Kluyveromyces lactis: one gene and its partner. The main gene of each other region encodes a partner of the protein of the gene in region 2 in a complex. Links are inferred from orthologs where the notes say so. Each region holds a gene or a part of one and is shown on either strand. Other genes may lie near its edges. The genes, in order: CEG1 and CET1.

What was found.
Region 1: the proteins of CET1 (region 2) and CEG1 are in contact, whole or in part, in a crystal structure (PDB 3KYH), measured with the Saccharomyces cerevisiae proteins. The link is inferred for Kluyveromyces lactis from reciprocal best matches to the Saccharomyces cerevisiae genes CET1 and CEG1. Residues at the interface, in NP_015096.1 of Saccharomyces cerevisiae: Ile246, Trp247, Ala248, Gln249, Lys250, Trp251, Lys252, Pro253, Thr254, Lys256, Ala257, Ser260, Ile261; in NP_011385.3 of Saccharomyces cerevisiae: Leu262, Trp295, Val301, Arg304, His307, Phe308, Gln310, Pro311, Phe312, Asp313, Glu316, Trp337, Leu340, Lys341, Glu344, Gln345, Pro346, Leu347, Asn348, Gly349, Arg350, Asp370, Asp371, Lys372, Leu373, Asn374.

Annotation. Positions count from the first base shown.
Region 1 is NC_006038.1:195,051-198,518, reverse strand, and holds CEG1 (mRNA guanylyltransferase), read right to left. Parts: upstream 2,179-3,468; coding exon 778-2,178; downstream 1-777. Other genes in the region: RSM23 (mitochondrial 37S ribosomal protein mS29), read left to right, coding at 1-669; DNA-binding E3 ubiquitin-protein ligase SNT2, read left to right, coding at 2,554-3,468. UniProt on the Saccharomyces cerevisiae protein: Second step of mRNA capping. Transfer of the GMP moiety of GTP to the 5'-diphosphate terminus of RNA via a covalent enzyme-GMP reaction intermediate.
Region 2 is NC_006039.1:1,398,208-1,402,167, forward strand, and holds CET1 (polynucleotide 5'-phosphatase), read left to right. Parts: upstream 1-1,657; coding exon 1,658-3,328; downstream 3,329-3,960. Other genes in the region: USV1 (Usv1p), read left to right, coding at 1-62; KLLA0_C16027g (uncharacterized protein), read left to right, coding at 708-1,274; ALG5 (dolichyl-phosphate beta-glucosyltransferase), read right to left, coding at 3,485-3,960. UniProt on the Saccharomyces cerevisiae protein: First step of mRNA capping. Converts the 5'-triphosphate end of a nascent mRNA chain into a diphosphate end.

The DNA of each region.
Region 1 (3,468 bases), on a different chromosome or scaffold from region 2:
GACTATAAATTAGTTCACTCTGGGGGTAAAGACCTATCTGTGAAGAGAAATGTGAATTTATCTGCAGGTAAATCCACGTTATACGATTTACTAAGTGTCAAGGCACCATCTCGTCACCGTGGAGCCGTTTTCGATGCATTCATTAAAGAATTAACTAACCAAACTGATCATCCGGTCTATTTCACTGTTGATAACTTCTCCCATCTTTTGACTACACCATTCACAGCATATAAAGACACAAGCAACAAAAATATTCATATTTTAAAATTCCAGGTTGGTCAATCTATTTTTGATTTAGTCTCTGGCGATTTGCAATTCGCTGCTAAGGACAGCTGTGTTGTTTTGGCTACTTCGGGTTTGGATAGAACCAATAGAACGTTATCAATTGGTTTGCAAAAGCTTCCTCACGATCCATATTTGACCAGATACCACTATGAACAAATTTTGGCCGAAAAGTTACTAAAGGGTAAAGTACAGGAGTTCGAAGTTACCAAACTTAATAAAGATGAAGTTGCCAAATTGATGGAGTTCTACCAAAAGGCGGGTATCGTACTTGACAAAGATTTACAGAACAAAACCTTCGAACAGCTTACCGAAGAAAAGTACTTCTTAAGTGGTAATGGTAATCCAAGGGAATTGCTCAAGAGTATTACACTATATCCATTCTAATTGTACATATTATATATTACAAAAAAACCCATGTAAATACAGGAAAGAAATATAATATGAGCACATATGCTCGTGTATATGTTATGCTTTTAACTTGACGCAAGATTCTTAAATCTTCTGTCTTTTTGTGTCTGGCTCGTCATCAGACCAATTATCATCGTCATCGTCTACATATTTTGGTTGATCTTGCGACTGCTCTGGTTCGGTTGAATGTTGCTGCGACAGCGACGATCTCGCAGAAGCCTGATGGTTGAATTGTTTTTGTGCATTTTTCAGTCCTTGTTCACGTTCTTTCCAGCGAGATCTCATTTCATCTACCACTTGTTCTAGATCATCCAATGAAACAGAATCACCGATACTTTCCAAGACTTTTTGAACGACTGATACGTGATTACCATTGAGTTTATCGTCTCTGAACCTAAGTAGTTTCCATGCACCTGATTCCTGATCTTTGGAACATTCTACAATTCTTCCGTTCAATGGCTCCTCCATGGCCTTGAGCTCATTCCATTGTTTGTCGTCGATTTCTATTTCTGCAAATTTTCTATAGGTTCTCTCCAAAAGCTCCAAATCACTCTTAGTAAAGGGTTGTTCGAAGTCCTGTATTCTATTGTTCACGTCATTACCACCTTGCCAAACGTACAAATGGAAAAGTGGCTTAACATCGTAATTGTAGTAAAACCTGTTTTTATCGCTTTTAGGTAAAGATTTGTCTTCTACTACAGGAGGTTCAATGATCAGTTTGAAATCCACAGTATTTTCTACTTCTGGTTTCCATTTCAAAAGGTAGCTATCTTTACCACCAATATGATATGCCGCTTGTACTGGAGTGAAAATTAGACCATCAGATACGTGTGGAAGTGAATCCAAGGTCTTTGCAACTTTTGCCAAATCATAACTGAAATTCATATGTTTCATTGAAATTTTGAATGGGAAAGTGGAACATCTATCTGGAAAATACGATCTTAAATCGTAATAAGGTTTGAAAAACTCTTTGCCAAGATGAGCCAAACGGGAACTTGTAGGCGATTGAACTAACGAACGACCATTTACCGCAAGGCAGTCGAACATCAAGTACCTCAGTTCCTTCAACTTGGTCACTGGATTAGTTTGCATGACAAGTTCACCATCAATTAACGTACCGTCCTGCAAAGTCTCTAGGAGTTCTTTTTTATTGGCACGGGGCAAACATGGAAATCTAAATCCATTGACCATATAGTAGTTGTTTTCACGGTCAATCATAAAACACCCTTGCTCTTTTGTAACTGGATTCACCATTATCAACATTAACGCACGCAATCCATCTGTCTTTTCACATACGTAATAGTCTTGCGCAAGTAACTTCTCCTCAATATCAGCCAGATGGAAAGAAACAGGTTGAGAGCCCGGAAAGGTATTAGCGGGTTTCGCTGAATTGAGTAGCTTACACATCAACATTCGAATATCATTAGTAATTTGTCCGGGTTGTCTTAGACCAGGAATCTCTGGTGCAACTCTGTTATTGTCCATGGCAATTAAGTTATAAACTTAGGCAAAAAAAAGGACAGTCAAAACACACGTATGCAATATCAATTGCCTTGGTTCATTAAGTTCAGGCTGCCTTAATCTATTGCTGTTTACCTTATTACGTATTTTCATCTGGTTCAGTAATTGTAAAATGCTTTCCAATTATTTTCAATATCGAAAGATGTATATAAAAACGCTATATGCAGGATATGAATATGGATTCAATATGAGGAGGAGCAACAACATACCAAGAGAGAAATAGTGCAAAAGGGAATACAGGATACATCCGGAGTTGCTAGCAAAAGTGTTGCATTTGAAGAATTGATATTCACTTGTGATATTTAACAGCAATTTGCATCAGCTTACTTCCGGCTAGTGATGACTGTCGTCTCAGGACAAAATTCGCCAGATGAGATAATAATTTCAAATGGCAATGAGTACACAAGTCGTAGGCGAACTGCGACCAAGAATGTGAGTTATAATGAGAAGGAAGCCGACATTGCGTTGGCGAAGAAGATTAAACAATTAGAGAAGGCGAACTCTTCGAAACAGAAGTCTGAAAAGGGTGAAACTATAAAGAAGAATGGCATTCAGAAGAAGGCGAACAATGGAAAGAAGTCACAGAAGAGTAGTTTCAAGTATCAGTCGTTCTTGCAAGACAAGAACACGCCGTGGAATTTCATTCCTTCTCTACCTAACTCATTCAAGAAATACGCAAGGTTCAGTACCATGTTGGATATCGATGAGATGACCGTTGACGTTTCTAAGCAATTGCTACTATCTGACGGATCGGCTGTCTTGAAAAAAGATGAGCACATATTTATGGTATCAGAACCACCTGGAGAACCCTACTATATTGGTAGGATAGTTGAGTTTGTGCCGAAAAAGGAGTTTCGTTCACTCATATCGCGTTCATTACACTTGGCAACTAGTTTCCCTGCGATTTATTTTCAGTTAAAAATGAATTGGTACTATAGACCCAGAGATATCCAGGAAAGAACAAATAGTACAAGCTCCAGAATGCTATACGCTTCACTTCATAATGATGTTTGCCCAATTTACTCATTCCGTGGTAAATGTAATGTCAAATTTCAAAAAGAATTTACCTCAATTGATCAGCTAACAGAATACGTCTCAAGACCCAATTGTTTCTACTTCAACCAACTTTTCGATAGATATACACTAAAGTATTACCAAATGGAAAAAACAGATCAGATGGCTGTGCGAGTTGCTTCTGATCTACCGTATTTCAAGATTTTAACTAGTAAATTCCCATTCATTTTCTATGAGGAT
Region 2 (3,960 bases):
AGACTTCGTTAAGAAAAGTGTCAACTCCAAAGAAACTCTCTTTAGAGCACATCCTATCATGAAACATAAGGAAAAGAAAACACACCCTCACGAACTAAAGACGGAAATAAAGAGTACCTCTCATTCATTCATTCCATACTTCAATTCTCAATGACTAACCACTTTTATCATTCATTAATATATTACGTTTTCCATTTCCTTTTGCACTTTTTCAATTCCAACTAGCTCTTACGTTTCCACCTTTGCTACATAATTTATTGTATATTTACCCCACTGTTTTTACCCGCACCATGGGCACCCTCAATTATAGTCTGTTCTTTCAGAATCTGACACATCTCTCATCTGATCTTAATTCGACTTGCTTACATTGAAAACTGAATCTCAATTGACTTCTTACGAGGTACGATCGTTCATCGACGTGGGAAGCAACGCTTTTGGAAGCATGATACGTCTCAAACGATTGTGTTAGTAACCAATCCCTCCTCATTTGGGTATGTGGGATATACAAAGAATGGTTCTTATGACTATATTATTTTTGGAAGCACGTGATCATCATTTTCTTTTTCGTTCCTTATCCTTTAAAGTATGGGCAGGATTTCCTTGGAAACGAGAAATCCAACTGTTATCACAACTACAATCCAAAGGGAGGGGTAAAAGGACCAAATGGACAAAACAAAGTAAAGATATCCAGAATAACACTTTAAACAATGTCTAATACGACACCATGGCAGTATACAAGTACGGGGTCTCCGCAGACTCCAAGTGCAGTGAGTGCGAATTTATTTGGAAATAGTATGAGTCTAAGTTCAACAAGCAGTACAAGCAGTTCAAGCGTTGGGAATAATAACAAGAGTAGTATGTCATCTGGCCAGAATATTGGCATGCTGGGACCGGCTCCTGGTATGCTGAATATGAATATGAACATACCTATGGGTGTTGATTCTACGTCCAGGCTGGGATCTGGAGCAGGAACTGGAGTCGGATCTTTGATGTACAGTTTACCTCAGGAATCGCTTCTCAGTAAGAATATGAGCAAATCGTTCGAGGACGATTTATTCTTTTGTCCAAGGTCATTATTATCTAAGGAAGAGCTTTCGCAGTGCTCGCAGATAGATTTGTTGTACAACCAACACCAGCAACAAATACATCAGAACCATCATCAACAACTGCCCCTACCAGTTCCTTTACAGCAACAACAGAACCACCAGCAACAGCAACAGAGACCACGTTTCAATCCATATACTTCCCAAAGCTTCAACCCTGGTGCAGTTTGAATTCTCGGGCTCCTTTGCAGCAGCAGTTCCTCGGCTGCTGCCTGTGAGATACCCCCCACATACCGGGGATGTTGGTTTAGTCGGATGATTATATGAAATGCAAGTCATGTGACTTGAATTTCTTCTTGTTACCCGGTCCCATGGACAATCCCTGGCATGAAGTAGCACTTTTCCACAATTTATCAACGTACATCATTATAGATACCAATGCATGTATGTATTTATGTACGTGTGTTCACATGTATATGAACGTCAGTTATATACTTTATATTACCCCCCATTTAATCAAGTTAGTTTATTTCGGTTTATTCAGTGTTCAAGCTAAGTAGGTGCAAAATCAGGCTGCCAATTCAATTCACAGTTTAAAGCCAACTCCACTAATAATGAAGCCTAGCAGAGGATTGTCACTCACCGATTTGGTCAACCATGATGACGCTCCGCCCTTGAATAATGGAGATAACAATGTAAAACAAGAAGAAGTGCAAGCTGAGAATCTCGCTACAAATCCAGCTTCTGTTTTGGCTCCAGGCCCAGTCATTGTTGATACTTTACCACCAGTAGAAGCTCCTGTTAGTACTTCCGATACTGGTAATACTAGTCATACTGGAGCAGCACCTCAGACAGCAGTAACAGCTGAGAGTGATGAGACTGATACGGACGATGAACCGGGGGAAATTGTGTTTGAAAATACTAAATTTAGGTTCGATGACGAAGAACAACAACCACAGAAAGATAAACTGGTAAAGGGCACTTCTTCGGAGAAGAAGGACAAGCAAGTAAACGCCGCAACTAAGGAGATTCAGCTGGACTCAAAACCCGTCAAAGAGCAATCTCCAAAAACAAAAGATGAAGGAGATATTCCCGTAGAGGATGCGGATAAAGCTGATAATAAAGTGGAAACGCAAAAAAAGGAAAACGGGATCAAACAAGAAGTCGAACCAGTGGAACAAGATGGTAAGAAATCAGTGGAACCTGCCAAGCAATCCAAAGAGGATTCGAAAAAGGAGAAGGACATCTTTCAGCAAAAGACAAGTAATGCTTCTGTGAAGAACAACATCAAGAAGGACTTGAAGATCCTAAGTGAACTCTCTTCCTCTTCGCTACCTAAAAGATACAATGTTCCGCCTATCTGGGCAAGAAAATGGAAACCTACTGTCAAGGCTTTACAAGCCATTGATTCTTCAAATCTTAAACTTGACGACTCTATTTTAGGATTTATTCCAGAAGATGACTTGACAAAATCCGTCCAAGATTGGATTTATGCTACGTTGATTGCAGTAGAACCGGAACTAAGGCAATTCATTGAAGTGGAAATGAAATACGGTCTTATCATTGATCCATCGACCTCTAATCGTGTTAACCCTCCGGTGTCCTCTCAATGCGTTTTCACAGATCTTGACTCCACAATGAAGCCGGATGTTGATGAAAGAGTTTTTGATGAGTTCAACAGATACATAAAGAACTTATCTGAATTAAATGAAAATATGGGAAAGTTTAATATAATAGATTCTCATGCCTCAGACTTGAGCTATAGAGTAAGAACTCATACGGAAAGGCCGAAGTTTTTGAGAATGACAAGAGATGTTAACACCGGAAGAATTGCACAATTTATTGAAAAACGGAAAATTTCACAGATTTTATTGTACTCCCCAAAGGATAGTTATGATACCAAGATTTCAATCAGTTTGGAACTGCCTGTACCCGAAAATGATCCACCTGAAAAGTACAAGAACCATACTCCAACAGGTCATCGTTTAAAGAAACGTACCAGTTACATCCATAATGACTCTTGTACCAGATTTGATATCACTAGGGTGGAAAATAAACCTATTAGAGTCAATAACAAAAATGAAAAAGAACCTGAATCTGATACAACGTACGAAGTTGAACTGGAAATCAATACACCTGCCCTCTTAAATGCTTTTGATAACATTCAACATGATAGTAAAGAATATGCAGCTATCGTGAGAACCTTTTTGAATAACGGTACCATTGTAAGAAGGAAGCTTTCATCTTTATCCTATGACATTTACAAAGGTTCGAATAAGCTTTGAATCCCATAATCACCTACTATGTTACTTTCAGATATTCTATAGTTCTATCTATCTCATACCAGTATAAAAGCTTGGGTTGTACTCAATGTTTCATGAAAGTAATCTGATAGAATATATCCTTACTTGCGCTTTATCTTCGCGCAAATTCTATGAAGCTTATTTATCGCTATATATGCCTAGTATATATGCTAACCTTATGATGACTAAATCCTTGGCCATGTTAATACTGTCACGAGCCAAATCCATTTTGGAACCGTCAACTTCATGCCATGAGATCGGTAGCTCATTGATTGGAATATTTTTACGCAACGCAACGATCAAGATTTCAACGTCGAAAATCCATCCTTCAGTGTGTAACTTAGGGAAAATTTCCTTAGCAGCCTTCCTATTAAATAATTTAAAACCACATTGTGTGTCCTTGATAGATCTAATACCGAAGATGAACACCAATGCATGTAAAGAGTACATTAAGAAGTTTCTGATAATTGTTCGCTTGACAACTGCATCGGTGTTAACCATATGAGCACGTGATCCAATCGATACCTCGGGTGCATCAACCTTTGTGTTTGCCAAAAGCTTGGCAACATCAGAGAACTTCGAGGCACCGTCAGCATCAGCAAACAATAGATATT